Macaca mulatta: one gene and its partners. The protein of the gene in region 4 interacts with the protein of the main gene of each other region in a pairwise test. Links are inferred from orthologs where the notes say so. Each region holds a gene or a part of one and is shown on either strand. Other genes may lie near its edges. The genes, in order: PDLIM7, KCTD9, MID2, GEM, AHCYL1 and LZTS2.

Evidence for each region.
Region 1: the proteins of GEM (region 4) and PDLIM7 interact in binary tests that used the Homo sapiens proteins (3 or more experiments, as listed by UniProt). The two-hybrid records come from large-scale screens. The link is inferred for Macaca mulatta from reciprocal best matches to the Homo sapiens genes GEM and PDLIM7.
Region 2: the proteins of GEM (region 4) and KCTD9 interact in binary tests that used the Homo sapiens proteins (3 or more experiments, as listed by UniProt). The two-hybrid records come from large-scale screens. The link is inferred for Macaca mulatta from reciprocal best matches to the Homo sapiens genes GEM and KCTD9.
Region 3: the proteins of GEM (region 4) and MID2 interact in binary tests that used the Homo sapiens proteins (3 or more experiments, as listed by UniProt). The link is inferred for Macaca mulatta from reciprocal best matches to the Homo sapiens genes GEM and MID2.
Region 5: the proteins of GEM (region 4) and AHCYL1 interact in binary tests that used the Homo sapiens proteins (3 or more experiments, as listed by UniProt). The two-hybrid records come from large-scale screens. The link is inferred for Macaca mulatta from reciprocal best matches to the Homo sapiens genes GEM and AHCYL1.
Region 6: the proteins of GEM (region 4) and LZTS2 interact in binary tests that used the Homo sapiens proteins (3 or more experiments, as listed by UniProt). The two-hybrid records come from large-scale screens. The link is inferred for Macaca mulatta from reciprocal best matches to the Homo sapiens genes GEM and LZTS2.

Annotation. Positions count from the first base shown.
Region 1 is NC_133411.1:186,467,678-186,471,165, reverse strand, and holds the end of PDLIM7 (PDZ and LIM domain protein 7), read left to right. Parts: intron 1-1,898; coding exon 1,899-2,019; intron 2,020-2,106; coding exon 2,107-2,222; intron 2,223-2,358; coding exon 2,359-2,445; 3' UTR 2,446-2,678; downstream 2,679-3,488. UniProt on the Homo sapiens protein: May function as a scaffold on which the coordinated assembly of proteins can occur. May play a role as an adapter that, via its PDZ domain, localizes LIM-binding proteins to actin filaments of both skeletal muscle and nonmuscle tissues.
Region 2 is NC_133413.1:27,201,300-27,206,572, reverse strand, and holds the start of KCTD9 (BTB/POZ domain-containing protein KCTD9), read left to right. Parts: upstream 1-1,582; 5' UTR 1,583-1,657; coding exon 1,658-1,705; intron 1,706-5,273. UniProt on the Homo sapiens protein: Substrate-specific adapter of a BCR (BTB-CUL3-RBX1) E3 ubiquitin-protein ligase complex, which mediates the ubiquitination of target proteins, leading to their degradation by the proteasome.
Region 3 is NC_133426.1:114,596,093-114,601,456, reverse strand, and holds the start of MID2 (putative E3 ubiquitin-protein ligase MID2), read right to left. Parts: upstream 3,428-5,364; 5' UTR 2,797-3,427; coding exon 2,793-2,796; intron 1-2,792. UniProt on the Homo sapiens protein: E3 ubiquitin ligase that plays a role in microtubule stabilization. Mediates the 'Lys-48'-linked polyubiquitination of LRRK2 to drive its localization to microtubules and its proteasomal degradation in neurons.
Region 4 is NC_133413.1:104,656,378-104,661,659, forward strand, and holds the start of GEM (GTP-binding protein GEM), read right to left. Parts: upstream 3,352-5,282; 5' UTR 3,199-3,351; exon of another isoform or gene 3,110-3,198; intron 1,989-3,109; exon of another isoform or gene 1,816-1,988; intron 1,499-1,815; 5' UTR 1,490-1,498; coding exon 1,099-1,489; intron 1-1,098. UniProt on the Homo sapiens protein: Could be a regulatory protein, possibly participating in receptor-mediated signal transduction at the plasma membrane. Has guanine nucleotide-binding activity but undetectable intrinsic GTPase activity.
Region 5 is NC_133406.1:130,211,384-130,216,875, reverse strand, and holds the start of AHCYL1 (S-adenosylhomocysteine hydrolase-like protein 1), read left to right. Parts: upstream 1-1,810; 5' UTR 1,811-2,030; coding exon 2,031-2,150; intron 2,151-5,492. UniProt on the Homo sapiens protein: Multifaceted cellular regulator which coordinates several essential cellular functions including regulation of epithelial HCO3(-) and fluid secretion, mRNA processing and DNA replication.
Region 6 is NC_133414.1:113,066,253-113,070,962, reverse strand, and holds the end of LZTS2 (leucine zipper putative tumor suppressor 2), read right to left. Parts: coding exon 4,477-4,710; intron 3,913-4,476; coding exon 3,253-3,912; intron 1,941-3,252; coding exon 1,683-1,940; intron 929-1,682; coding exon 245-928; 3' UTR 46-244; downstream 1-45. UniProt on the Homo sapiens protein: Negative regulator of katanin-mediated microtubule severing and release from the centrosome. Required for central spindle formation and the completion of cytokinesis.

The DNA of each region.
Region 1 (3,488 bases), on a different chromosome or scaffold from region 4:
AAAAAAAAAAATTAGAAAATTAGCCAAGTGTGGTGGTGTGCACCTGTTGTCCCAGCTACTTGGGAGGCAGAGTGAAAGTGAAATCTCCTGCTTTTTATTTCTTTATGTATAACGATAGGGTCTTGCTCTGTTGCCCAGGCTGTAGTACAGTGGCATGATCACTGCTCACTGCAGCCTTGATCTCCTGGGCTCAGAGGATCCTCCCACCTCAACCTCCCAAATAGCTAGGACTAGAGATGCCCACCAGCATGCTCAGCAGATTTTTAAATATTTTTATAGAGATGAGGTTTTGCTATGTTGCCCAGGCTGGTCTTGAACTCCTGGCCTCGAGCAATCCTCCTACCCTGACCTCCCAAAGCACTGGGATTACAGACGTGAACCACTGTGCCCAGCAGATTTCACTTGAGCACCTAGATTTCAGCCTGAGCCAGGCAGGCGTTCCTGAATGAACCAGTAGCACCGTTGCCAGAAGAAGAGGTGCTCCTCCGTATGACACAGTCCCCACTTGACCCTTGCAGGGATTGGATCTGGGATCCCTGGATTTAAACTCAGGGCTATCCTCATAACAGCCTCACAAGGCCGGGATTAGCTTCCCAGTTCACAAGGGAAGAAACCAAGACTTGAGAAGGTCAGGGTCTGGCCAAACCCACAGATCTCTGACCCTCATGCCGCCTTGAGGCCCCATGCTGCCCTCTGCCTGCTCCAGAGGTGAATACTGCTGGCCCTGGCTGGCCCCGAGGCTCCTAGCGAACAGCCCAGCCCAGGGAGAGCTCAGCACCTTGTGCCTCTGGCCCCTCCCACCTCCTGCGGAGCCTAGTCAATTCACCCACAAAGGGCCAGGCACTGTGGGGCTAGATCAGCTAACAAAACAGTTGATGCTTCATGCCCTTCTGGGCCTTACGTTTTGGCTGGAAGAAGAGGGGAGAGGCAGACAGTAAGCAATAAGCGCAATAAGTAGACTGCCTGGAAGTAATGTTAGATCACATTATGGAAAACAGGAAAGAGTAGAGCAAGAAGCGCTTGGGCGTGGTGTAGGGAAGGCAGCTGGCTGCTACTCGTGTGGTCAGGGTGGGACCTCGTGGAGAAGACTGCATTCGAGCGGAAACTTGAAGGGGGTGAGGGGTGAGCCTTGAGATATCCGGGGCAGAGCAGTCCAGGCAGAGGGGACAGCCAGTGTCAAGCCCAGGACAGGAGCGTGCCGGGTGTGCCAATTTCAGGCAAGAGGCCAGTGTGCGGAGGCAAGGTGAGAACGCAAAGGAGAGCAGTGGGGGAGACAGGTGGGAACGAGGTCAGACCTGCTGGCCTCCAGCGTCTGCATGGGGCTTGGTTCTTGCTGGGAGAAATGGGAAGCGGTAAGGGGTTTCATGCAGGAGGATACAGACTGTCTCGGGTTGCAGGGGTTGCAGGGGCCTGCTGCGGCAGCTGGGATCAGAGGGAGGAGCTGTAGGCCAGTTGTGTGTGATCCCAGGGGCCAGATCGCTGTGGCTCACCTCGCATCAGGGAGGCTGTGAGCAGCACGCAGAATCTGGATATGCCTTGGGGGTGGGCCCCACTGGATTTCCTGGGGGACCTGGTGTGGGGTGTGGGAGGAGGGTGTGTTTGGCTGCAGCAAATGGGAGAATGGAGTTGCCATCCGTGTTACGGGGATGCCTGTGGGAGGAGAGGTTTGGGGCGAGGGGATCAGGAACTGAGTACTGGACATGGCAGGTCTGAAGGCGCAGTGGACATCCACTCAGAGACCTTGGAGATGGAGATGGAGGCATGGGAGTCCTGAACGGTTAGATGTAGTGTTTACTATGAGAAGGAACAGGGCCCGCGGCCAGCTGCCCTGTGTTCCCGTGACCCAGGGGAGGGCGGGAGGGGCCTGAGCCTGCCGAGTGACTGGCACCTCCTTCCAGGAGATCATGCATGCCCTGAAGATGACCTGGCACGTGCACTGCTTCACCTGTGCCGCCTGCAAGACGCCCATCCGGAACAGGGCCTTCTACATGGAGGAGGGCGTGCCCTACTGCGAGCGAGGTACCTGCTGGCCAATGAGGGTGAGGAGGGATGGTGCATGGGGCAGGCATGAATCCAGGTCCCCTTCCTCTCTGCTCCCATCCTCAGACTATGAGAAGATGTTTGGCACGAAATGCCATGGCTGTGACTTCAAGATCGACGCTGGGGACCGCTTCCTGGAGGCGCTGGGCTTCAGCTGGCATGACACCTGCTTCGTCTGTGCGGTGAGAGCCCCGAGCCTTGGCCTCAGCCCCAAGTCCACCAGCCCTCTGTTTATTGCCTGGGGGATGCAGGAGAAGCTGGGAAGGGGCCTCTACTGCTGCCCCCAACCCCATGTGACTGGGCCTTTGCTGTCCTTAGATATGTCAGATCAACCTGGAAGGAAAGACCTTCTACTCCAAGAAGGACAGGCCCCTCTGCAAGAGCCATGCCTTCTCCCACGTGTGAGCCCCTCCTGCCCACAGCTGCCGCGGCGGCCCCAGAGCCATGGCCTGGCATTTCTGGGTAGGGCTGGCAATGGTTGCCTTAACCCGGCTCCTGGCCCGAGCCTGGGGTTCCCCGGCCCTGCCCCACCCGCCTTATCCTCCCACCCCACTCCCTCCACCACCACAGCACACCGGTGCTGGCCACACCGGCCCCCTTTCACCTCCAGTGCCACAATAAACCTGTACCCAGCTGTGTCTTGTGTGCCATTCCCCTGTGCACCCGGAGGGGTAGAACTTGAGTCACGTGGCAGGGTGGAGAGTAAGAGGGATTTCTTGGGCTGGCCATCTTGGTGGCCCTCGTGATGCGGACGTGGCAGGCTCATGGTTAGTGGAGGAGGTATAGGCGGGACCCCATGTGCCAGGCCTGGTGCCCACAGACATGAGGGACGCCACTGGTCTGGCCTGGCTTGGAGGTTAGAGAAGGGTAGTTAGGATGGGCGTGGTGGATCACGCCTGTAATCCCGGCACTTTGGGAGGCCAAGGCGGGCAGATCACTTGAGGTCAGGAGTTTGAGACCACTCCGGCTGACATGGAGAAACAACGTCTCTGGTAAAAATACAAAATTAGCTGAATGTGGTGGGGCGTGCCTGTAATCCCAGCTACTCAGGAGGCTAAGGTGGGAAAATTGCTTGAACCCGGGAGGTGGAGAGTGCAGTGAGCTGAGATCATACCGCTGCGCTCGAGCCTGGGTGGCAGAGTGAGACCTGGCCTCAAAAAAAAAAAAAAAAAACACACAGAAAGGTAGTCGTAGTTGGGGGTGGATCTGCAGAGATACGGGGTGGAAAACAGCAATGGCCACAGCAAAGGCCTGGAGGGGCCAACTGCCGTCCAAACAGAAGATGGGACTGGAGAGGGTAGCCTTTAGGTCCCGGGAGGCCACAAGTGCCAGGCAGTAGAGCTGGGGCTGTCTCTTGAGGTCAGGGCAGGGCACGGCACAGCAGAGTTTGAAATAGATTTGTGTTGTTTTCTAGAAAGAGGCCCCAGGACACTGAGCGGGTACAGGAG
Region 2 (5,273 bases), about 77 Mb from region 4:
TTTAAATGCACAATTAAATTATGGACCGTCACCCTGTTGTGCTAGCAAATACTAGATCTTATTCATTCTATGTTTTTGTACCTGTTAACCAACTCCACTTCCCTCCCACTCAGCCCCAATACCCTTCCCAGCCTGTGCTAACCATTCTTCTACTCAAAGCGCGTACTTTTAAGGCCAAATTAAACAGAAAGAAATGGAGGAAACTGCTGTTCAGGCACCAAAGCAGACCCCAAAGGATAAGCCATGGCTTTTCAACCGAAGTGAAGACCTGAATCATAAGGGTACCCGTCTCAAGACGCAGCTCCGTCCATTTCCAGAAATTGTCTCAGCAGGTCCGGATGCACCCCTGGTCACCCAGAGCAGCTCCTGAGAGGAGTACTAACTCTGTGCTGCAGGGTAAGCCGAACAAACGCCATAAAAACGCCCCGGAGAAGCAGCCCCATGGCAGGGTGGCTGCAATCCTACCTCTCACGCCGCACCTGAAGGCCCGCCAGGCAGATAGGCTTAATCTCAGAGCCCCGAGGCAGGCGAGCTTCGCGTAGGTCGCTGCTTCCAGACCCCGGCTCCTCTGTCCGGAAGGGCTCTGCTGGCAAAGCACCCGTAGCCGGGAACCGCTCTCCGAACAAGGAGTCCAGGGTCCCTGAGGCCGACTCGGACTCACACCCCGCGCAGTCCCTGTCTTTCGCTCCGCCCGGCCGCCTCCTCCGCCCGCCGCCCGATTCAAATTCCCGGCCCCGCCCCTCGATGCCGAACTTACTCTACGAATCACTCCGCTACCGCCCCTTTCTCTGGTCTGCGCACACTCCGAGCCCTCCCAGTGACTTCCTGGGCTCGGAGTGGGGCCACCGCGAGCTGCAGTCAACCCGCCGACCACAGACACCTACTACTGACCTGTGACCGCGGGGACTACTTTCCAGGAGAGTCTCGCGGAGTAACGCTTCTGTTAGCGCTTTAACTCCGCCTCCCACCTTTCTATTGGATGCTGCAAACTTCGAAAAGACTCATTCAACCAATCCTAACAGAGCGAAGAGCTGGCTCTTACCCAATCACTCCGTCCCTACCGCAGCCGTTTCCTCGCTGGGCCGGCTTGTGGGCGGGGCTAACGCAGGAGGAGGGGCTGACTGGTGCTTGGGTCCCTTTCAGCGCTCCACCTCCTTTCCGTAGACCCCGCCCTCGTATGCAGATGAGCGCTACCTAGACTTGAGTGTGCGCCTGCTCAGTAACGCTGTAAGTCGCCGTCCGGCTCCAGGAGCCTCTCTGATTGGCTGATGCCCCTTCCCGTCTACTAGCCTTCAGCGTCTCTTCCCTCCCTCCATCCCGGCTAGGTTAGCCAGGGCCCGCCCGATACTGGGTGCTGATTGGCTGGACCCTGGCCGGTGACGCAGGTTGGTTGGTAGGCTGAATGTCAGTCTCGGAGAGGTGGGGGAAGGGCCCCAGGCAGGCTGAGGAGCCTAGGGGCGGGGTGGGAAGGAGGACCGGCCGAGCCCTGGGTGTGGGACAGAGTGCGTGTGTGTGGTGTGTCCCCAAGGGCAGGAAGGTGGCGAAGGGAGGCGAATCCGAGTGGGTGGAGGGAGGGGAAGGGCGGGAGGAGAAAAAGGTGGGAGTAGGACCAGGTGGGAGGGTGGCGGCTCACTCAGGACCCAGCGGGGGCAGCGCGATGAGGCGGGTGACCCTGTTCCTGAACGGCAGCCCTAAGAACGGAAAGGTAACGGGGGCGTGAGTGGGCGCGGCGGGCCGTGGGTCGGGGCGAGGGTGGAGGGTGCGGACCCGGCTGGCGGGGCAGCCGTGAAGTTGGGCAGAGGGGCTGGGAGGTGGGCGTGCGCGGGCTGGGGGCGCCCGGGGACAGCACAGGGTCCCCGCGGCCTCCTCCCGACCCTCAGGACCCCTGTCCCCGAGCCTGCCCTTCGGCGCCTCAGCTGCCTGGGGGCCGGCGCGGGTCGGGCCGGGGGCTCCGGGGCTCCCGGATGCGCGGTGCAGGGGGCGCGGGGACTGGGGAGCGGAGAGGGCCGCGGTCACCTGGGCGCCCGGGCGGTCGCGCTTCTTCCCGCCTGTCCCCGAGACCCCGCTCCCGCCTGCGGGAGGAGGCGCGCCGGCTCCCGTGCTGAGTAATGGTCTGCTCGGAAAGTGGCGGCGAGCACCAGAGCCTGTGGAGCTGGGTCAGGGAGACAGAAGTAAACTGCCCGTGGATAAACAAAATCTCCCATCCGAGGTCGAAGACAGGATTTTAAAAATGGGGGCATTTTCTTGTTGATTTTTGCCCTTCTCTCTGAGATGCCTCAAGCCCCCACTCCCCGACGCCGCCAAACTTCTCTGTACTCGTTTTATTATTTTGCCTTATTTTGATTCCCTAGAGGACGGGGACAGCAGACCCAAAAGGGATCGATTTGACAGTCGCCTTTGCTGTGTTAGGTAGGCCTTTGCGGAGGGTGTGGTGCTAAGTGTTCTTCCAGCGCTGGAGCAAGCCAAAATGAATTCTCTTCCTTCCCAGCCTTTTGCCCCACCCATGAAAGTTGTTCTGCTACTTTGGGAAATTTTGACTGTTCAAGGCAGACATTTACTGCGTTGCTAAATGACACCCAGAAGTAACTCAGCCTTTACGAGTCTAAGGTAAAGGTAAATGGGTTTCACTGTGTTAGTTGCCAAAATACTCTGGTGCCTGCACATTCGGGAAACACTGTAAATTTTTAAATAGTGAAATTGTCCAGTGGCATTAAAAATGGCTTTCCCATTATTCAGTGTAGAGTAAACATGCCCTGAAAATTCGAACCAGAGTGTGGTTTGTTGGCTATAATTTTGTGTTCTTCTGGTCCTAGAGATTTAATACTCATTTTAAAACAGAATTGGTATAAATTCGAGTTCTCGAGTTATCATGAATGCTACCCCGAAAATATGCTCACGAAGTTTACATTTCTCATCACTATTAACTTTTTCTAAACCTGTTCTGTAGTTAGCTGGTGTTATCTAAAACGTATGTTGTTACTCTAAGATTAAAGATTGAGTATATCCAAAATTGGTAATATTTCTCAAAAACAAACTTCCGATTGACCTTTTTAATGCAGTATCTCTGCTATGTTACTCATGGAAGACAAATATTTAGACCTAGTCATAAATATTTTTGCTCTAAATCTCTCCCGAATCCACTCAATTTGGTTGTCAAAAATTAACTGAGTTGGTCTTTCCATATTGTTCACACGGATTTTTTTTAAACTATCTAGTTTTGACTACATTCTTGGATTTAAATTTTATTTACTTTAAAAATATTCTGCTAGAGAATCTCAGAAGATTGGGGGAAATGCATCTCAAATAATTAAATATGAATATGTTCATGTTACAACGATCATAAAAATCCAAACTGGAGAATACTAGATAAAAAGAAACAAAGCCGTGATCTTCACTGCTCAGCTGATGAACATATTCTAAGATAACGTTGGCAGTGCTTTCTCTCCTTTCAGTTGATTAAAAAATTTTATAATTACTCTTATTTGACAAAAGAGCTACATAATACATAACAGCTTGCATTTTTATATATAAAGTGACTAATTGGATTGGCATGATCATGACATGAATGTTCATTAAGAATAAGCTAGGGAAAAGTGCTACTCAAATAGAACAGAATTTGATTTCCCATCCACCAGTTGGAATATCTGTACCACTTACTTTATCTCCTTTACCTCGCTTCTGCTTTTATTTCCTGGTTATAAGAATAATCTGTTTTTTTTCAAATAAGTTTCCCTCTTATAGCTTGTTTAGTGGTTACCAGACTGTGGGACTATAAAGCCCGGGGAAAGGTGTGGAGAGGCAGAGAATTCTTCCAAGGTGCTGTGTTACATGCTCACCACGAATTTTCTGTGTATTGAATAAATGTAACTAGTGGTGAATGTATTTGATGTTGGAGAGAGGGCTATGCATTCTCTGAACAGTGGTTTCCAGAGTGAGATGGCACACCACGGACGGTGTCCAAGATGATTTATTGGAGGTCAGGAAGAAATATACCTTTTGTTTGTATCTTACACTTAAAAATATAAAATAATATGGAAACGTGATTTTTTGGATCTGGAAAGACACAGGTGCCTCCAGTCATTGAACATGTCAGCTGGTCTCAGGTCTCCTGTAAGAAGGGAGGGCCTTCACATGTGAAAAGGTTAATTAATAGTGGCTTCTTCACTGATTGGTTGTCATTGACATTGTGCTGTGGAAGCTTACAACTGCCACGTTAAGATTTATATCTAGTTTTAACTAAATTAACCCTCACCAAAATGCCAAGTGATCTTAAAGGATTACTTCAAAGAAACTGCAGCTTGAAGTCAATATGAATTATGCAAGCACAAGTAAACAATGAGGAAATGGCAGGAGCTGCCACTTCTCCTAGTATGTATAAACCATGAGACTAAAAAAAGAGTGGATCTCTTTGGGCCTGAGAAGTTGAAACAGTGCTGAGTTTTCAAGAAGACTAGTTGAAGTCCTATTTATTAATTGCTATTAATAATCAGCCTCTCCCTAAGTGTATGTTATTCTTTGAAATATTAGCCATTGACAGGATGAGTCATCCTAGTTAGCAAGATATTTAGAAATACTTTCTAGGACATGAAGACAAATGGCTTCAGATTTTTTTTCTTTTCTGATTTTATTTTTTGGTTTTCGTTTTTTACTTTTATCTTTATATTTATTTATTTATTTGATACAGCGGTTTGCTCTTCCACTCAGGCTGGAGTGCAGTGGCGTGATCTCAGCTCACTGCAACCTCCACCCTCCAAGTTAAAGCTATTCTCCTGACTCCGCCTCTTGCATAACTTGGGACTAATTTTTGTATTTTTGGTAGAGACAGGGTTTCACCATGTTGGCCAGGCTAGTCCTGAACTCTTGACCTTAGGTGATCCACCTGCCTTGGCCTCCCAAAGTGCTAGGATTACAGGCATGAGCCACCACACCCGGCTTATTTTGATGTTTAAAGTCAATCCTGTATTTGGCAGAATTTCACTAAATTTAATGATAAATATTTAGGAGATTCTTACTGGCTGATTCATAGTCTAAGTCACTAAAAGTCCTCATCATTTGGGAAAACATGTACTTTCTAATAGTGGAATATGGTTTGTAACTACATAAATATACAGATGTTTGAGCACATGCCCAAAAGTGTGTTACCATTGGGGTGTGTGGTCAGAAACATTTGAAGGCCTTAGTTCTAATCACTGGAATATTTAATTTAAATTTTGAGGGTTTTTTGTTGTTTTTTAAAACTGCTCCAAAAGAGTCAGTTATGTTGTGCCTGTCAT
Region 3 (5,364 bases), on a different chromosome or scaffold from region 4:
GCTAAAGTAAGATTTTCAGTAAGCTAAGATTCCTACTTACACCCAGTCAATCCACTAACTCAGTAAAAGGTAAAGGAAGTGCTTTCTTTGAAAAGTATAATGTTGGCCGGCTGTGGTGGTTCGCACCTGTAATCCCAACACTTGGCTTTGGCAGGTGGATCCCTTAAGCTCAGGAGTTTGAGACCAGACTGGGAAACATGGTGAATCCTGTCTCTACAAAAAATTCAAAAATTAGCTAGGTGTGATGGTGTGTGCCTATAGTCCCAGCTACTAGGGAAGCTGAGATAGGAGGATTGCTTGAGCCAGAGAAGTCAAGACTGCAGCAAGCCATGATCACGCCACTGCACTCCAGCCTGGGTGACACAGCGAGACTTCATCTCAAAGGGGAAAAAAAATTATAATGCTGAGGGTTTACAGAACCCTTTCATCTTCAAAGGACCAAGTCAAGACTAACAATACCCAGTACACAATATTATAGCTTTTACACAAGTGCACCAACTAAGAAAGAAAAGTCATAGGAATGTCCTAAAGCCATAAGCCAATGTAACATCAGATTTGGGATGAACTCTGATCTTCTTGACTCCTGGACCTGTGTTTTAACCACTGCATTAGCTATTCTTGCATTGCCTTAAAGAAATACCTGAAACTGGGTAGTTTATAAATAAAAGAGGTAGGCTGGGCATTGTGGCTCTTGCCTATAATCCCAGCACTTGGTGAGGCCCTCAGATCGCTTGACCTCAGGAGTTCGAGACCAGCCTGAGCAATATGTCAAAACCCCATCTCTACAAAAAATACAAAAATTAGCTGGGTGTGGTGGCATGCACCTGTGGTCCCAACTACTCAAGATGCTGAGATAGAAGGATTGCTTAAGCCCGAGGCAAGACCCTTTCTCAAAAAAAAAAAAAAAAACAGAAAAGAAAAGAAAAAAAAGAAAAGAGGTTTAATTGGGTCACAGTTCTGCAGGCTGTACAGGAAGTGTGATGCCAGCATCTGCTTCTGAGGAGGACTCAGGAAGCTTACAATCATGGAGGGAGGCAAATGGGGAGCAGGAGATTCTCACATGGTGTGAGCAGAAGCAAGGGAGAAAGAGAGCTGGGGGGAAGTGCCGCACGCTTTTAAACAACCAGATCTCAGGAGAGATTACTCACTATCACAAGGACTCACAGTCAACCAAGGTGGTGGTGCTAAACCATTCATGAGAAATCTGCCCTCATGATCCAGTCACCTCCCATCAGGCCCCACCTCAACACTGGGGATTACATTTGTACATAAGATTTGGGCAGGGATAAATATCCAAACTTTATCAAACACATGAATCAAGTTGTGAGGAGCAATCAGGAGAAATCTAATTCACATTATATACCCATGTTAAGTTCATTGATTGGGCAGGAATATATAAAAATAGCAAAGACAGTTTCTCCCTCAGTACAGTCATGAGAGGAGACAGACAGGGGGATGTGAGTGTCGGGGGGGTGGGGAGGGGGAAGCTAACCATCTGGGGTAGAATGAAACCACTCCCCAAACAGAAGAAAAGTAGGGGAGGAGAACTCCCTATTCAGCAACTCCCTTCTATTGGAATATTGCCAGAGAACTGATTAGAGTACTGGGACGGAGCAGAATGGGGTTAAAGGCAGCCCTTCTGGCCCAAGTTGAGAATCAGAGGGATCAACCCACACACGGTACTTCTCTATTTAGTTTCCAATATATTCCTTTATAAGGGCTCATCCTCAGAGACACACAACCATCACCATCTATCCGCCCCACACTCAGAAATCCTCAAAAGGCAAAGTGGTTGAAGAAGTAAGATGCAGCATGGCTGGGAGGCTGGGAGGGCACAGGTTGATGGGGAAAGCCTGGGGTCCAAGGCGCTCTAGTGGGGGATTTCCATAGTCATGTAAGTGTTGTGACATAGGAAGGTGAGTGATCATGAAAACGGTAGGGGACAGTGGAAGAGACAGAGAAAGTAAAGAGTAAAACGACTCCAGGATTTCAATTTCCTGCTCTAAGAAGCAACACTTCTGAAAAATAATGTGCAACACACGAAGTGCTAAGTAACCTAAACCTTATCATCACCAGTAATATTCCTGTAAATCTACTCTGCTGTTATTTACTTAATTCTTACAAGGCAGGAATGGAAAATCCCCACTCTCCCTGGTTGCGTCGCAGTCTGTCCTGTGGACATATGTAAGTTTTCCCTCTCCCCCACAGAGCTGGTTTCACAGCTAGGCCAGAAATAAGGAACCATCCAGACGGAGACTCGAGGATCGCTCCCCTGGCAGAAAAGGGATTAAGTTTCACCGGGCCTCCCCGCCGGCAGGGCGTCCGCAGCCACGCCGGCTGCTGCGACAGCACCGCCCGGCAGACGGCCGGCCAAGGGGCGACGCCGGGGACGAAGAGGCTGCCGGCTGCGGGAGCGTGGGAAGGCGGCCGTGCCCTTTCCCAGACTCGCGCCCAGGCGCCGGAGGATTCGCTCGACTGCCCGCGCCCGGCCCGGCCCGGCTGCGCAGAGGCCTCGGCCGCCCCCGCCCCGCACCCCGGAGTGCAAACTCTGTCCCAGGAGGGCAGTGGCAGGAACCCGAGCCCCAACAGCATGACTGGGAGCCGGAGCTGATCTGGGGCCCCCGTCGCCGTCTCGAGCCTCGCGGGCCCCATCACCCTGCCCCGCCGAGCCCGAGAGCCCTCGGCTAACGCCGGGCCCCGGCGGCACCTGAAAAGCGGCCGGAGCCAGGGCCGAGCCCTGCGAGGGCGACGACGCTCGACCTCCAGGGCCGCGGCGAGGGGGCGCGTTTTACCCATAGCGTTCCCAGGTGCCAGCCATCTCCTCTGCTCGCTCGAGGGCGCTGGGCGCTCGTCTGCCTCCGCAGCGGGCTAGCTCGGGCTCCGGCGCGAGCTCCAGGGCCCCGGTCGCCGCCGCCGCCGCCGCCACCACTCTAGGCCGCCGCCCGCCTTCGCTGCAGCTGCCGCTACCGTCGCCGACGCCGCGCAGCAGCCGGGATCCGCCAGCCCGCGCGCCCCGCAGGGGATAGCACGGCGGCCGCGATGCTACCGCGGCTGGGTCTCCCGAGCTAAAGTTAAGAGTTTTCGCCCCTCAGTCCAGGGGCAGCACCATGACACCACGGCAGCACCACACTGTCATTTCCGCCGCCGCAGAGGAAAAAAAAAGGCAATCCCTTCCAAAAGGGAGGCGGAGTGGGGGCAAACGGGGTTGGGGCTGACACCCCAAGGGAGCACTGGGAAGGGCCAAAGAAGAAGGGGCGCTCGGACACCTTCCCAGGCTCACCTTCCGCCGCCCCCGCCACTCCCAGCTCCCCCAGCCCTTCCTCTGGAGGCACGTTTACATGTCTTCTCCCCTGGCAGGAGTGACCGGAGAAACCTGAGCAAGCAAAGGCAGCCGGTGGGTGGGGCTCGGGTTACTACTGTACCTACCAGCTGATTCCAGCAGCCTTTTCTCCAGCGCCCTGTCATCTTGAAGGAAGACACAGAGAGAGGGACCTGGGCGGGTGTGTGTGTGTGTATGTGTGTGTTGTGTGTGTGTGTGTGTGTGTGTGTGAGTGACAGAGCGACAGAGAGAGCAGAATGTGTGTGAAATGCAGAAGGAAGACTATGGCTAAACTCTTCTCCCACTCCCCACTCCTCTGTCCCCCAGCCCCACAAACCCCAGGTTAGAACAAGGAAGAGGCCTTTGCAACCGGTAATAAGAAGAGAGTGCCCGGGTCCACCGCACAGATCCTCTCCATGAAGCTGCTCTATGCAAAGTTAACTACAGAGTAAAACAAAAATAGTGGAGGAGATAGAAAAGGGCAGACAATTGAAGGAAACCCAACCCCTCTTTCTTTTTACAAAGAGAGAATGGCTGTGTTTTATTGGCCTCGGGCAGAAGTTGTGAAGGTGGATTAAAGCCATCAAAAGAAAAAAAAAAAGCAGGATTTTTCTTGTACCTTCAAATTGTTGACCAGTAAAACAAGAGGGTCGTTACCACAAGGACAATGAGGCAGATGCTAGCTATCCAGGTATTCCAGGTCCCTAATAAGCTAATTGGTCCATTTGGAATCCAGCATCCTCCCATTGGTCTGGAGTGACCCCCACTCAAAAGGTGGATGGGAGAGGGAAAGAGCAGGAAGCCCCATAAGAGACTCTGTTTCTAACTTGGGGCAAAAAGAGAGAACAAGGGGAAAGAAATGAGAAAATGAGAGGACCTGCCCCAGCGCGCGCGCGCGCGCGCGCGCACACACACACACACACACACACACACACACACACACACGCCTGCCATCATTGTGCATAAGAACAAGCCCAGAAAAATTGAGGTATCTCTTGGTATATCCCTTCAGGAAACCAATAGTAATCAGTCAACACTCCTGTGAAACAATGTGCTAGAGATCACTGAGGTGGAAACCAAGGCAAAAATCACAACCAGGCTGCCCTGATGAAAGTCTGGCCCCGGCCGGGCGCGGTGGCTCAAGCCTGTAATCCCAGCACTTTGGGAGGCCGAGACGGGTGGATCATGAGGTCAGGAGATCGAGACCATCCTGGCTAACACGGTGAAACCCCGTCTCTACTAAAAAATACAAAAAAACTAGCCAGGTGAGGTGGCGGGCGCCTGTAGTCCCAGCTACTCGGGAGGCTGAGGCAGGAGAATGGCGTGAACCCAGGAGGCGGAGCTTGCAGTGAGCTGAGATCCGGCCACTGCACTCCAGCCTGGGCGGCAGAGCGAGACTCCGTCTCAAAAAAAAAAAAAAAAAAAAAAAGTCTGGCCCCTAAGAGAAGTAAAAGGTAGTGAGTAACACCTAAAGTCCAGGCAACAAAAGCAAAAATAGGTAAATGGGACCATAAAACTTTCAAACATCTGCACAGGAAAGGACTCAATCAACAGAGTGAAAAAGCAACCTACAAAATGGTAGAAAACTTTTGCAAACCATATATCGGATAATGTGCTAATATCCAGAATGTATAAAGAACTTGTATAGCTCAATTAAAAAAAAAAAAAAAAAACCTCTTAAAAGTGGACAAAAGACTTGAATAGACATTTCTCCAAAGAAGATATACAAGTGGCCAACAGGCATATGCAAAGATGATCAACATCACTAATTGTCAGGGAAATGCAAGTCAAACCCCAATGAAATATCATTTCACATCCATTAGGATGGTCACTATAAAAATAAAAATTTAAAAATTTAAAAAAAAAAAAAACAGAAGAAAATACAGCAAGGTGTGGTTCACACTTGTAATTCCAGCTACTCAGGAGGGGATGCTAAGGCAAGAGAGTCACTTGAGGCCAGGAGTTAGAGATCAGCCTGGGTAACATGAAGAGAACGTGTCTACAAAAAATAAAATTAGAACAGAAAATAATAAGTGTTAACAAGG
Region 4 (5,282 bases):
AAGAAGGAGGGAATCAATTGTATAACACTGGCCCTATTTCTCCCTTTACTCTTGTGAGATTCCAGGAGCCAGGAGAGAAATCAATGTTACATCAATGAGTCATCATTTATAGCCCACTTCCTGAGCTGCCTCATGAAGCAGTGAACTCCTTGACACTGAGACAGTCAAGAAGAATAAAACCTCCAGATGAGATGGGCTGTGGGTAGTGAGGAATAGTATTAATATGCATCAATGCAGGGGAGAACTGAGTCATCGCTGAGACACCTCCCTACTCTGTGATTCAGTTGTGAGTCGCGACAGAACACAGAACATGTGACTTGGGGAAACACTGAGCAGTGCTTCCTTTATTTCTGTAGCGGTGAATAGGGACACGTAACTACCCTGGTCGCATACGCTCAGACTGAAGCCGTGGCTGAAAGACACTTTATGGACGGCATTGGCTATCAGGATCTTCATATTACTTAGCAGAACATAGGGCTGTACTTTACCCCTAGCTGAAGAATACATGCATTTTGAGATAATGTCACCTCAAAACAGTTTTGGAAATAGGCCAGGTTCCAATCAATAAATAGATGAAATAAAATTGTACAGGGAAAATTGTCTTGAAAAGCTGTCAGACTCTATACAAAGTATCATTGTTATACTTCACATTTTAAAAAATTATTATACTATTTCAAATACAGATTTTGAACTATTTTACACCCACAAAAGTTTCTAATATTGGTAGAAGCAAACTGATCAAGCCATCCTAACAGCTTTTCCAACTGGCTTGTTTTAGGTATAACCATGGAAAAAGGCTGTGCCTATACTGAATTCCGGGAAGAATGTTCAAGTCAGAGTCAGCAGAAGTCAGAGGTGGGGCGCTGACCCTCTGGCTATGACCAATCTAATCAGCCTTCCCCCACCCATTTAGAATTGAAATCTGAAAAATTCCCTTTCTGGCCCAGGTTCAATAGATTTTGGTCCTGTCTACAAGCTTTTTCATTTTATTGCCCTGAGAGCCTGTGCTTGGGCTTTTCTGGAGACTCAGCTCCCCCATCAATTGTCCAAAATGCATAAACCTTAGCTCCCAACTCTGCAGGTAAATAAGCCACCCACCTTCGCTCTTTCTTCCTGGGCCACGCCTGATGGAAAGAAGCCCACTGGGGCTGGGACACCTACCTCCCAGCACCTCGCAGTCGCTGTCCATGCTGTCATGCACACCTGCAAAGATGTTGGCCAGAGTGGACTTGCCCACCCCCTGCTCCCCTATGAGCACCACTCGGTAGTAGGTGTTCCCTGACTCAGAGGAGATGACTGAGTCTGTGGAGTCAGAGGACCAGCTTCGGCGGCAGTGGTCCTCAGGGGCAGCAGAATGGCGGTTTCGGTGGCTATACTGGTGGGGCTCTTTCTGGACCATCAGATGCCTGCCATCGGCTGGGATGCTCCAGCGCTGCTGCTGCGGCTGCATGCCCACAGTGCCCTGGCGCATGGTGACATTCAGAGTCATCGTTGGGTCCTGGGGAGCAAAGCAGCCAAGATGGCAGCATTAGTAAGCATGAGTGAGAGCTCTGCTCAAATACATGGTCAGTCATCAGTAATATTATATTAGATGAGATGAGAAGCAAGTATCCCTAACATAAAAAACACCAATTAAACAGTCTCCAAAGCCCAACAAGACAGGCTTTCAACTGGACACACACACACACACACACACACACACACACACACACACACACACACTGCTCACACTGTCAGTAACCAGCTCCTCAGGCAGACTGTCATTTGCATGGAAAAAATAATACTGTTAACATCAACCACTGCCCATGGGCTTACCCCTTCCTCAAAGCAGACCTGGATCAAAGAAGAGCTGCACTCGGAGCTGGCACAAAGGCAGCTGGAAAGAACCAGCAGCCTCCAGAGATGACTTAAAAAGCAACAAGTTAATGTTGCTGGGGACCAACTGGTCAGGTTAGCTGCTCTTGTCTAAACTTGGCTCTTAATTGCACCAGTGTCCAGCAGGTTTTGTGCCTCAGTGGGAAACACGTGGCAATGACATCACCCCCACCCCTCCCCACCGCAACCCTGGCTGGACTGGACAGGCACTTATTGGAACTTCCATGTTTAGTAAAGTTGCTTTGATGCTCTCCAGCTGCCTGGAGAGCATCCACCTGCCATTATTGGGGGTAGAGGGGAAATTTTCTGCTTAAAGTTTATGCCTCAGCTGTGCCCTCTTATCCACAGATGCCACTTTTAAAGCATCTCAGCTCCAAACCTAGACACCCTGGCAGAGAAATGATCTGCTCATGTTCAGACCTAGCAAATTTGCACAGAAAGTGCCTCATTCTTAACAAACCACGTCCATTCTCAAGAGTTCTTTAATTCAACTCAGATTCCTTTCTTGAGACAGAGTCTTGCTCTGTCACCCAGGCTGGAGTGTAGTGGCAGGATCACAGCTCACTGTAGCCTCCAACTCCACTTCAGCCTCCCAAGGAGCTGGGACTACAGACCTGCACCACCACGCCCACTAGTTTTTTTATTTTTATTTTTATTTTTTGGTAGAGACGGTGGTCTCACAATGTTGCCCAGGCTGGTCTCCAACTCCTGGGGTCAAGTGATCCTCCTGCCTCGGCTTCCCAAAGTGCTGAGACCACAGGCCTGAGCCACCATTCTCAGCCCCCCTTCTTGAAGCAAATCAGAAGGCTGAAGACTACCCTAAATGATATTCAACAACTTCGCTACAACTTTCCCTTTGCAGACTGCCTCCCCTAGCCGGAAGGTCTGTTTTTCGGGCTACTGGCGACGAAGTGTAAGTAGGCACATTGCAATCAGCAAGATGCACAAACAGTGCTTTCCCACCCTCACCCCCACACTCCATACCCCAACACCTCGCCACTAACCAGGACCACCAGCTGGTTTTTTAGTCTCAAAAGCAGCACCTCAGTTGGCAGACTTACATTCAAACAACAAATACATAAAGCATCATTAAGGGCTGCCCTCTCTGACCACTCGATCTGTAGGAGGAGGTGACTGTCCTACCGAATTGAACTAAGGAACCTGCTGATGAGAAGCGACATCCTTTGCACTTGAAGCTCTGACCCCCACCAGAAAATCCCAGCACAGAACGCACGTTTCAGGGGTTCTTTTCTCAACTTCGAAAGTTCTGCGGGCTGGGAAACTCCCACTCTCTCCCTTCTCCGTCCCGGGCCGCCCCCTTACTTGGCTCGGCCGGATCGGCGTCGGGGCGTCAGCGTATCGCGTGGGTCTGCGCTGGGATACCCGGGCCAAGGAGCGGGTAGTGCTGCGCTGTGCCCGCCGTCCGTGCCCGCCGCCTACAGCCGCCGCGGCCGGGCGGTTTATAACTAGCCCAGCCGACCCGCCGCGGGGCTTTTCCGTGACGTCAGCGCCCCCGCCGGGAGGGGGCGGCTCTGCAGCAAACTCGGAGTTGCAGCCACTTGGCTAAATCGGTTACTCGCAGTCACATGACCCCTTCTCTCTCCATTTAAAAAATAATGACAGTTCAATCCTGGGCCTCCTTTATTTTGTTTTATTTTCTTTTTTACCAGGTGAACACAGGAAAATGGAAAAATACTCTAAGTGCCACTTAATCGTCCTTCCCAGCAAAACACTTGCAAGCTAGCGGGATAAAGGATGGAGGGAGAAGCAGGTTTGAGTTGAGAGCTCAGCTTTGCCAAGAAAACAGGGATCAACCTGGAATGCGCAGAGACTTTAGCCTCCAGGATGAGACTGCAGCCACCTTGAATGGCCAAGGCTTGTTTTAACCGCATCTTCTGCAAGGAAGACAGCCTCTGTCACCTTCTCTCTGGATAGGGGGAAGCAGATGGAGCCCCACAAAGCTTTGTTTCCCTTCTCTGGCAAGGACCCAGAGAGAAGGGGCCAGAAAGAGGTGAGGAAAGAGGACAAGACCTTGAAAAGGGCAGTTTGGGAAAACAATTTAATTGAGGATCCAAGCAGATTGTGCTAAATGTTGTTGGCCCTGCTGCTCTGGGCCAGAATGCTGAGGCTCCTCAATCAGGGAATTTAATCAGCATCTCAATCACCAGCATCTCTGTACCAGGCTCCCTGGCAAGGCTACACCTTGGGCATGAGCCAATACAGCCTGGCCATGGGGAGGAGCACTGAGCCCACGGCCCCTATGAGAGACTCCTGTGAACAAAGGGCACAGGATAATAACTACTACTACCATTTACTATGTACCTCTGAGGACCTCTGCTTAGTAGGTACTGTTAGGCCTCCTGGGACCTTAATCCTTACTACACTCCTGCAAGGTGACTCAATTGCTACCCTCATTGTATGGAGGAGGAAGATGACATAGGGCCAGACAACTTGCCCAAGGTCATACTGCTGGTATAAGTGGCAGGGTCAGGACTCAAAGCCTGGTTTGCCTGAGTCTCTGCACTGCACCACTAAGTGAAGGATTTCAATGACCTCTTTCCGGGGACATGGGTATTTCCCAGATGCTGTGTTTAGAGATGATGCTGGCCTCTCCAACATACTCGTCCGCTTTTTCAGCCAGCTTCATCTCTGGGTTGGCTGGTGGCTCCGGGAAGCAGCCAAAGGCACCAGCATCTATTGAAGCAGTGGACTCTGCTGTGATTAGAGTCGATTCACAGTTATCCTGCAGGCATTTATCTGCTTTGGAAATTAGCTACATGACCAGCTGCTGAGACCTGCTAGGTCCCAAGCTAGCAAAGGTGGAATACACAGAGTAATGAAAACTTAGAATTCCTTTAGTCTCAGGTTTGTGGCCCCAATCTCCTACTTATCTTATACATAAGAAACCTGAGACCTAGAGAGATGATGACCGCTTAGGACATGGCAGAGCTGGAACTACAACCTGGGGATCATAATTCTCTGGATGCCCTTTGCTTCTGTCAAGTTTTTCTTCTGGGTTTAGCTGACAGGGAGTGGCTACAGATGTGGGGAAAGGGAAAAAGGAGGAGATGGGGGTGAGGAGAGATCATCTCCAAGGGTATATCACTGACTCCATTCTAAAACACATGTAGTTGATGAATAATCTGCGTTTCAAAATGTTCCATGCTTTTTCCATACTGACACTCCTACTCTGTCAACTGGTCTCAACAGAAACATTATAGGAGTAAAAACTAAGAAGAAATCAATTTATAAGCATATGATATAGTTTCTTAGTTCTACTTGTGCCCATTGATAAGAACCTGATACTTCACACTCATAAGAACCTAATTCTGCCCAGGCGCGGTGGCTCATGCCTGTTATCCCAGCGCTTCGGGAGGCTGAGGAGGGTGGATCACGAGGTCAGGAGT
Region 5 (5,492 bases), on a different chromosome or scaffold from region 4:
GTCCTGGCCAGGTGCAGTGGCTCACGCCTGTAATCCCAGCACTTTGGGAGGCCGAGGCGGGTTGATCACGAGGTCAGGATTCGAGACCAGCCTGGCCGAGATGGTCTGTCTCTACTAAACCCTGTCTCTACTAAAAATACAAAAATTAGCTGGGCATGGTGGTGCACGTCTGTAGTCCCAGCTCAGGAGGCCGAGGCAGGAGAATTGCTTGAACCCGGCAGGCGGAGGTTGCAGTGAGCCGAGAGCACTCTAGCTTGGGCAACAGAGAGAGAAAAAAAAAAAAAAAAAAAAAAGTGGTCCTGGGGAGGAATTTAGGGAAAGGACACTGGAAAGACTAGAATTGCTCAGCACAGCAGAGGAGAATCTGGCTTCCCAGAGTCCATCAAGGAAGGAAGGATGAGGTGCAGGGATGGGAAGGGAGGAACAGGAGGAAGCTAGATTAGATGGCAATGGGCTAGGGAGCGTAGTGGGATCTTGTGGCCATTGAGAAATCCCTGGGTGGTGAGACAGCCAAAATAACTTTTCAGAACATTTCAGAAATGTGATCTTAAATTGTTTGCTCTGTGATGTAATCTCTCCCCTGTGACCCACAAACCTTTATGAAAAGTTTTACTACATGTTACAGCCTTATTTTGTATTTGTTTAGCATGGGGTGGGGGTTGAAAGAAGAAGCAGCAGAATTGACCCCAGGAGCTACAGAAACAGTCACAAGATCAGAATAGTGAATAAAATGCCAAACAAGGCAAAACAACAACAACAGCAACAACAAAAAAGTAGAACCAGAGGTGACCATGAAAATCCAAGTCCTCCCAGTAATTCACAGAAATCCCGGGGAGGGCACTGGACTTTCCACAGGACATGGTAATTAGAGCCAATGTCATTTGAATCTCAAAGGACAAGCTACCTCAGCTGACATTAGGTTACAGGCAGGCTTTGCCTCTCCAGCTGAACTAAGCCTTGCAAAACATAAAATGCGTCACATGCCCTTTTGCCAGCAGGGCCTTAGCACAGGCACTGCACATAGTAGGCCCCGTAAAAGGGTGTGAACGGTCCATGAATGTCCTGGATGCCCACTGAGAGCTGTAAGAGTCTAATGCTTTGGTGGAGCAAGGACCGGAAAGCCATTCTGGCTGGGGACTTCTCCATCAGCTCTCCTGGTCTCCACCCTCATAGCCATCAGCCCTATTCCAATGAGGGTTTTGTAAACAGGCAAGGCCCAGTCGGAGATGATGGTGGAGGAAGTCACAAAGGGTTGTGCAGAAACCAGACTACTCTGAGTCAGTTCTGCCCCCTATGAAGTCAAAGAGGCAGGCACTGCCCCTTGGGAAGGAGCTTTAATACAAACGGCCTGGGGCTGGGGCAGTGAGTGAGTGAGTTGTCTCAAGCCCCGGACTTTTCCTAGGAATGGTTGTAGGATGTGTCGTGTTGGGCTCTGGTCTTTGCTCCCAAATACCCTTTTTATGCGCCGCTGAGGCCTCGCCAGGAACCCCGCAGCCCAAAGACCCTCCGTTTCGCAGCGTCGTTGCATGAACCACGCGCTCCTCCCAGGGCTGATGGTGCCACCTGGTGGCACAAAGAGTCCTGCTCACTCTGGGAACTTCGCTCTCGAGCGGGAGAGAAGGAGCGGCTTCTGTGGCCCAGCCCAGCGTGGTGACGTCACGACAGAGTGCCGTTTCTCCCCGCCTCTTCCCCCTCCCGGGAGCTGCCAGTACTTGACGTGGCGTCACCACCCTCTACCCTCGCTTTGCGTGCGTGTTTGCGTACAGCGGAGGTGGCGGCGCGGGCAGGTCGGAGCTCGGAGCTGCTGCTTCTGGTTCTCTTGTGGCCGCCGTCGCTGTCCGGCTGCCTTGAGCTGCTGAACAGACGAGGCGTGGGCCACAGCACCTCAGAAGCCAACGCAGCTCGACGCAGGGCCCGGCGGGAGGGTGGGCGATCGCGTGTCGGAGGGCGCCGCGCGGGCAGGCGGGCGGGCGCCTGAGGGGGAAAGAGGCGGGGGCGGCGGGTCAGCCGCGGGCCGGGCCGGCCGGGGGATGTCGATGCCTGACGCGATGCCGCTGCCCGGGGTCGGGGAGGAGCTGAAGCAGGCCAAGGAGATCGAGGACGCCGAGAAGTACTCCTTCATGGCCACCGTCACCAAGGCGCCCAAGAAGGTGCGGGGGCTCTGGGTGGCGGCGGGGGCTCGGGCTCCGGCCTCGCGGAAGGGACGCGAGCAAGCCCGGGCTCTGGCTAGTTTGGGACTTCTGGGGCTGGGGTTGGGGTGACTGGGGACGGCGGAGGTGATGTAGGGGGTGACGGCTATGCGGCCCCAGGCCTATCCCGGGTTGAAAAGGCCGCCTCTGACCTCGCTTTCCTTTGTCCCTCGGCCCAAGTCCTCCGGGATCGTTTTGAAACCCGACAGGGCCAGGCCTTAAATTTGCGACTGACTTTTCCTAGATGAAGGTCCTCGAAGACGAGAGTGGGAGGGGGTGAACCAACTCAGTTGACCCTGTGACCGGTCCGGGGGCATGGGGTGTACAGAAAATCTCCTTTCATTTGAGTGGGTAAATCTGGCAGAACTTCCGTCAGATCTTTGGGAGCAGTGGTCGGTTTATCCAACAACTGCGTGATAGCTGGGAGGCAAGAGAAAAGAATGCGTGAAGCTAGCTCTGATATACAGGTGAAAGCAATGAGAGTAACATGAAATTGAAAATCTGTGATTTTCACTTTCTACAGCCTTCCAGTTACTCCGAAATATGTAAGAAATTGACATTTGGAGGGTGGTGACAGCAGACACTGTCATGGATACAGGTGGATCCTAGAGTCATGTGAATAGATTACTTAGGCATCCCTGGAGAAAGGAGCTTGGGTGGGTTGGAGTGGTGGGTGGTAAGGAAAGATTGCTCACTCTTGACTGTACTTTTGAGGCAGAACAAGTTTGATCTATTGTGCTGTGGGTTGAGCTCAAAGGACACCCTTAGAATTCTCTCATAAATGGCAACCTTTGAAGATGTTAGTCTCACTAGCTCTCTGAGTGGTGGAATTGGGATCCTTATTGCTTTCTGATCATTTACTGCCAGCCACATCTTGATTATCCATACACCTGGCACCCAGTTAGCAGTAGATCAGAGAACCTTTACGAAGAGGTGACCTTCCTGAAGCCAGTGAGAACCCAGATAAATGTCTCCCTTCTCTATAAAGACGGAGTGTTACAAAGCTGTGTCTGCCTGTATGCAGTGTTTAATAGGATGCAGGGCTGAACAAAGCAAGGGCTGCAGGAATAGTTAAGTCCTTGAGGCTTCAACTAGTTAAGCTGTCTTAAGTGGGAGAGATGGCTTTTTTTTTTTTTTTTTAAGTGAATTAACCTGCCACTCCAGAAATCAAATGCAGGATTAAAAAGACAAGTCGCCATTGTGTGCTTTCATTCTGTTTTTTCACAAAATTAAGAATTTAATTCTTTAAAAGGTTGTGGAAGATCCCTTGACTCTGAGGCATCTGATTAACTTTAGTGCTGTCAGTTCAGTTGACTGCTTTGTTGGGACAATGACCCTTTGCAATCTGCACTATTCTTTGGAGAAACAGTCAGTCCTTATAAGCAGAATGATTGAGAGTGGGACCTTAGGTGAGTTAGAGGAAAGAATGGAAAAGCCCTAATACCTGAATTTCCTAGACTCTGACATCTTTGCTCTTACTTGCCTTTATGTTAGTAAATCTCTATTCTTGAAAGTACCTCTGTTGATAAGACAAAGTCTATATTGTAGATTGTAAAAACTCATTAAGGCAGGAATTCTTGTTCACCTTTGTATCCAGTGTGCCTAGCGTTGTACCCAGCATATAGTAGGTACTCAAATATTAATTGCCCACCTGGCTAACTAGTAACTGAGATGTCCATATAGCTACCTACCAGGAATAACTATCCCTTTTCCCCTCTTCTTCCCAGGAGGAATATTACTAATGTGTATTATTGTCAGGCCAAGTGCTGATGATTTTAGACTTACATTGCATTAGCTAAAAGAAGCAGGCTTTGCCAGGAATGTGGGAAGACCCCGTTTTAAGTTTCCATTTGCCAGTAAATGTGCCCCACCGTGTTCCTTATTAATCTTTCTGGGTTTTATTGTTCAGCATTTACGTAGTACTTTGTAATAAAGTGTTTTATGATGACTAATTACCCTTTCCCTAGTGATGATAAAAGACATTTATTTAGTTAATGGATCAGTTGAGGACTAGTCAAGGTCACATAGCAAGTCCTAGTCTGTTTTTCAGAAGTGCTGAACATTATGACTTAAGTCACTTTTGTACCTCTGCCATGTGTTGATAATGTGAGAAAGCATGGGAAAAGTAAGAGGGAAAAAAGTAACTTGGCGTGGTACTTGATGGTGTAGAAAAAGACCTCTTCAAATGGTGCAGTCCTTCACCTATGAGAATTCTACCCTGGCTCTAGACCAGTAATCCTTGGATTATTCTGAAGCCCTGAGGCCGGCCTCAGGAATTGAGGATGTTCTTGATACCAGAGAATATAGGTTACTTCAGGGTGACCTTGATGATCCTCAATTAGATCAGATCCCAGTGTCACTTTCTGGTCAGCTTTTATGCATTTTGTTTGCTTTGTTTGAGATAGAGTCAGTTTTTATTCATTTTGTTTGCTTTGTTTGAGATAGAGTGGATGTCCATCAATTAAAAGTATAAATATCTAGATTCTTCAACTATAATCATGACTTACTCAGTTTTGTATGCCAAGGTCTGTCACACTGCTGTGAACAAAATAGGACTTGTTGGTTTGATTGAAGATTTCAGATATCTGGGTGTCGAGAAGTCAACTAAAGGGGTATGACCTTGAGCAAATTAATTAGCTTTTGTACCTCCATCTCATCTGCCAAATACATGCCTATTTTTTGGAACAGGTGGAGATAGGGGCATGTTGGGGAGTTAAGATAGCAAGTGTAATTTTTTAAAAGTCTTATTTATATATTTATATTCTTCAATGGGTATTTGAAGTGGCTTATAACACAGAACCTATATGTGATATAAGAGGAAGTAAAAACTATAGAAAGAATGAAAAAAATATTGTTAACCTCGAGGGCTAAGATAGTTGATGAGGTCGATCACATGCAACTTTAAACTTTTAGCAACCAGAGGATAAAAAGAATCATAGTTACAGTCTCCTTAGCAGGCATGGGAAATAATACATGTCAGTTCCTCAAGAGGACAACTTTTCCTGACACAGAGTTCTAAAAGAATTTTTCACGGGACTATCTTAATAGCTGTAGTATAATTCACATTGCAAGGCTTGTTCACGACTGTCACTGGTGATTTCAGATGGTATGGCTAGGAAAATTTGAGGTAAGAAAAGGAATCCTTCAGTTGTAAGAGTTAAGTGTACCACAACTGAAGAAGATCCTTGTTTAATGTTGGCAGTTATCAGTCAAACCAAGTAAGTAATGTAGTTCCCCATAACCCCTGGTTATTTATGCCTCTTTTTCTGCTACTTTGTGTAACAGGAGTGATAACTGTCCTTG
Region 6 (4,710 bases), on a different chromosome or scaffold from region 4:
GTGGGTAGTGACAGGAGCCTCTGGGTGACAGTGAACACGGGGACCTTCGAGCGGTCTGATCTTGCTCCTCCAAGTCAAAGGACCATCCCAAGTTCCTGGCAGAATCCCAGAGGCCTGGATCCTAGGAGACAAGTGGCTTTGGGGCCCTCAGCTTTTGGGGTCATCCGTGGGCCCTGGGGCCTAAGTGGATCTGCAGCTGCTGCCCCTCTGGGAGAGCTCCCTGCAGAGCTGGGTGCCGAGGGCCCTAGATCTCAGTAGCAGTGATCTCCTCCAGGCAGATGCAGGGGGCCTGCTCAGCCAGGCCCAGCTCCGCAAGCTCCCGGGCCTCCAGCTCCAGGCTGAGCTGCTGCAGCTCCTGCTCTAGCTGCCGGTTGCGCCGGTACATCTGGATGTAGTTGTGCTGCAGCTGCTTCTGGTAGCGGATCACCTGCTCCTTCTCTGCCTGCCAGGCCAGCCGCTCCCCTTCAAAGCTGTCCCGCTGCTCCTCACCCCGCCGCCGCTCCCGCTGCAGCTCCACCCGCAATCGCTCCACCTGGGCCCGCAAGCTGCCCCCAACCCCGGCTGCTGCCCGCTGCACTTTGGCCTCATCACTCTCTGCCAGGAGGAATGGGTCAGCGGTGGCAGGTGGCACAGCGGGCTCCCGGAGTCCAGCCGCCTCAGCATCCAACTGCCCAGCTTTCTCCCGCAGCCGCTCGGCTTCCTGGCGGTGTCGCTGCAGCTCCTGGGAACAGGCTTCCAGCTCCAGCTCCCGAGCTCGGGCGGCCTCCTGTAGACCCCGCGCACGGCCCTCACTGACCCGCAGGGTAGCACGGGCCTCCCGCAGTGCCACCCGCAGGGCCACCAGCTCGCTGCCCTTCTGCACCAGCTCTGCCTGAGACTCCTTCAGCTGCTGCTTCAGCAGGGAGATCTCGCCTGATTTCTGGCACACCTGGGGGTGGGAGGCAGTGGGGAAGGATGGTGAGACAGGTTCTCCTGGGGGGACAGGCCCTGTGCATCATGCTGGGCATTCGGGAGGAGAGTCCATCTTTATCCCCATTTTATAGATGGAGACACTGAGGCAAGTCTAGTGACATGTCCAAGGTCATAGAGTGAAGATGTGGCTTAAGTGGAAAGCAGACATAGATTTTTTTGCTTCAAAGTTGGTGTCTTCAAAGCATCACGAGACACTGTGGAAGTACCACCGAGCCCTGGGGACTGGGTGCTGGCAGGTGCTGCAGGAGTGGGGGCAATGGAGGGCAGTACCCAGGTGTCTACTGGAGAGGTACTACAGTGACTTGGTTAAGAGCTCAGATATTGGAGCCAGACTGCCTGGGTTCAGATTTGGCACTCCAGTCTTTCTGGGCCTCAGTTTACTCATCTCTAAAATGGGGAGACTAGTGGTAGCCCCCTCAGTGTTGTTATAAGGATGAAATGATCTGTCCCATGTAACATGCTTAGAAGAGTGCCTCCACACCACAAACACCACATTCTTACTACTGGCTGGAGCGTGGCTTTGTGCCACTAGACAAGGCCAACAAGGAGACCCTCCTCCCAGAAAGGAACAGAGGAGAACTTCATCTCACGGAGGTGAGGAAGGGGAGGACCTCTGGGGGTGGCAGGCTGAGGGAGGGTGCGGCTGGGCCCCTTTTTCCAGGGTTTCTCCCTGTGTGACCCTGCTCCCTGCCCCTCCTGGTCTGGCCCACCTCCCACTTGGTCTCCTCAAGCCTTGGCCCGAGCTCCCGCTGCTCCCGCTCCAAGGTGGCGCAGCGCCGCTCCAGCTGTTCACGCTCCTGCAGCAGCTGTGCAAAGTCATCCTGCAATTGCCGCTTCTCCTGCTGCAGCTGGAACACCTGCAGCTGCAGCAGCTGTTGGGCCCGCTGTGCCCGCTGTGCCTGGGCTGCACAGTCCTCTCGCAGGGCCTCGCGCTCTCGCTGCCAGTGCCGCTGCCGCTCCTCGTATGCCTGCAGGCGAGAAGACAGACCCAGCTCCTGGGCAGTTTTCCCAACTCCCCACTCAGTGTCTGCCTGGCGGCCCACTTCTGAGGGCTCAGGAAGGGTGTATTCCATCAAACAACAATAGTAATTGCAACAATACTAACTGCTTTTATAATGATCATAGAAACAAACACAAGAGCAAGCAGACCGGGCTCGGTGCCTCACGCCTGTAATCCCAGCATCTTGGGAAGCCGAGGTGGGTGGATCACTTAAGCTCCGGAGTTTGAGACCAGCCTAGGCAACACAGCAAAACCTTGCCTCTCCAAAGAACAAAAATTAGCTTGGTGTGGTGGCGTGTGCCTGTAGTTTCAGCTACTTGGGAGGCTGGGGTGGGAGGACTGCTTGAGTCCAGGAGGTTGAGGCTACAAGGAGCCGAAATCGCGCCACTGCACTCTAGCCTGGGTGAGAGAATGAGACCCTGTCTCAAAAAAAAAAAAAAAGCACTTGGCCGGGTGCAGTGGCTCAGGCCTGTAATCCCAGCAGTTTGGGAGGCCGAGGCGGGTGCCTCACTTGAGGCTAGGGGTTCGAAACCAGCTTGGCCAACATGGTGGGAACCCCGTCTCTACTAAAAATTCAAAAAAAAAAAAAAAGCAAGCATTTATGTATAGCATTTCCTAGATACCAGGCATTAGTCTAAGCACTTTACACCTTTTGCCTTATTTAATCCTCATAACAATCCTATGAAGCTAGAAATATCCCTGTTATAGATGAAGAAATAGAGGCTGAATAAAGTTAAGCAACTTGCTCAAGTCCAAAAACTGGTATTTAGCAGTGGGAGGTTTGAATCCATGCACTCTGACTCCTTTCCACCCCACAAGTTTTGTTTTTTGTTTCTTGTTTTGAGATACAGTCTTGCTCTGTTACCCAAGGCTAGAGTGCAATGGCAAAATGTCAGCTCACTGTAACCTCCTCCTCCTGGGCTCAAGTGATCCTCCTACCTCAGCCTCCCAAATAGCTGGGACTACAGGTACATGCCACCACACTCAGCTAATTTATTTTTAGGAGAGATGGGGTTTCCCCATGTTGCCCAGGCTGGTCTCAAACTCCCGAGCTCAAGCAATCCGCCCACCTCGGCCTCCCAAAGTGCTGGGATTACAGATGTGAGCCACCACGTCTGGCTATTCCACAAATTAAACCAGACAACTGGTGGGGAGGGCAGGGGGGTCACAACTACAACTACCCAACCCCTCTTCCCTGCTAAAATGGAAATGCCCCTTTCATTCCCCAGGCCTTGGGATGTCCTGCCATGCCCCTTCCCCATCATTGCCTCTGACCACACCTGGCACATGGTAGCCTCATTCTCGTCCAGACTGTCCCGCAGCTGCTGAAGCTCTGCCTCCCGCTCTCGGAGCTTTCCTTCCAGGACACAGTGCAGCAGGGCCTCGTCGGAAGGAGGTGGAGGCGGGGGTGGTGGTGAGCGCTCCCCACAGGAGCTGCTGTCAGGGGAGGCCCGGGTACCACTGCCCAAAAGCCCGGCAGCCACACGGCCCCCCAGGGAGCCTGTGCTCTTGCTGGAGGAGGACCGGCCACTGTCTGAGTGGGAGGGCCCAGTAGGGACCCCTCGGGCTGGCCCAGGCAGTGCCCCTCGCCCAGAGCCATGGGAAGGCAGGTGCCCGCCTGGGGAGCTGGTGGTTGGCTCGGCACCTCCGGTGCTGTAGGTGGGCAGGCTGGACAGTGAGTTTCGGCCAGAGTCGGATAGCGTCCCTGATGGGCAGCCACTGGCCCAGCCACTAAATGCCAGGGGTTTGTCAGCAGCTGAAGAGGAGGAGGAAGAAGAGGAGGAGGAGGCAGGGCCCCCAAACAGCTGTGTCAGGCTGCCCTGGCTCCCAGACAGCCCGGTGGCCCGAGGACCCATGAAGCTAGGCAGGGACGGAGCCCCTCGAGGTTTGGGCAGCACTGGCTTGAAGGCTGTTGGGCGGATCAGGATCTTCTCCATGTTCTGAAATGAGGTGCCATGTGACAGTGGAGATGAGCTGCCCAATCTTGCAGAACCCTTATGACACTCCCTGCCCTCCCATCTGGGGTCCCCAATGCCCATATATTCGTAACAATTGCGGCCACTGGTGGAGGTGGCCACCAGTGTCAGCTTTGTGTCAAGCAATCTGAAAGGTTTATCCCCATTATCTAAATATGATCACTATTCTCATATTACAGATGAGGAAATGGAGGCTCAGCAAGGTTAAAGGCCTTGACCAAAGCCAAACATATAACTGGTGCAGAAATAACCAGAACATAAGCAACTAGCACTTAACAACTGTATACATGCCACATGCTAGGCACTATGCTATACATTATTTGACCTTCACGTCAGTTCTAGAAACTGAGGCTCAAGTTAAGTGACTTCCCTGAGGTCACACATGCAGAATGAGAGAGAGCTGGGATTAGGACCCAGGTCTGGTGAATCTGGAGCCCACACTCTTTCCTCTATATAAGCTTCTAAATTCCAGTTTTCCAAGGGGGACTCCCGTTCTACCCAGGCCCACAAGGAAGAGCTGGTCCTCACCTTCTCCAGCTTTCCAGAGACAGGGATGAGCTTCGGTGGTGGGCCGCGGAGGTGGGCATTGTGTGCCCGCTGCTCTCGGGCATCCTCAACATCACTGCTTGGGCTAGGGGGTGACTCTGTCCGGAAGTCCTCATTGATGTAGGTGAAGCTGGTGACAGGGACAGCCTTCCTAGGAGGCACAGCTGGGCACAGCGGCTCCTGTGCCTCATAGCCACCCCGCAGCAGGCCATCCTG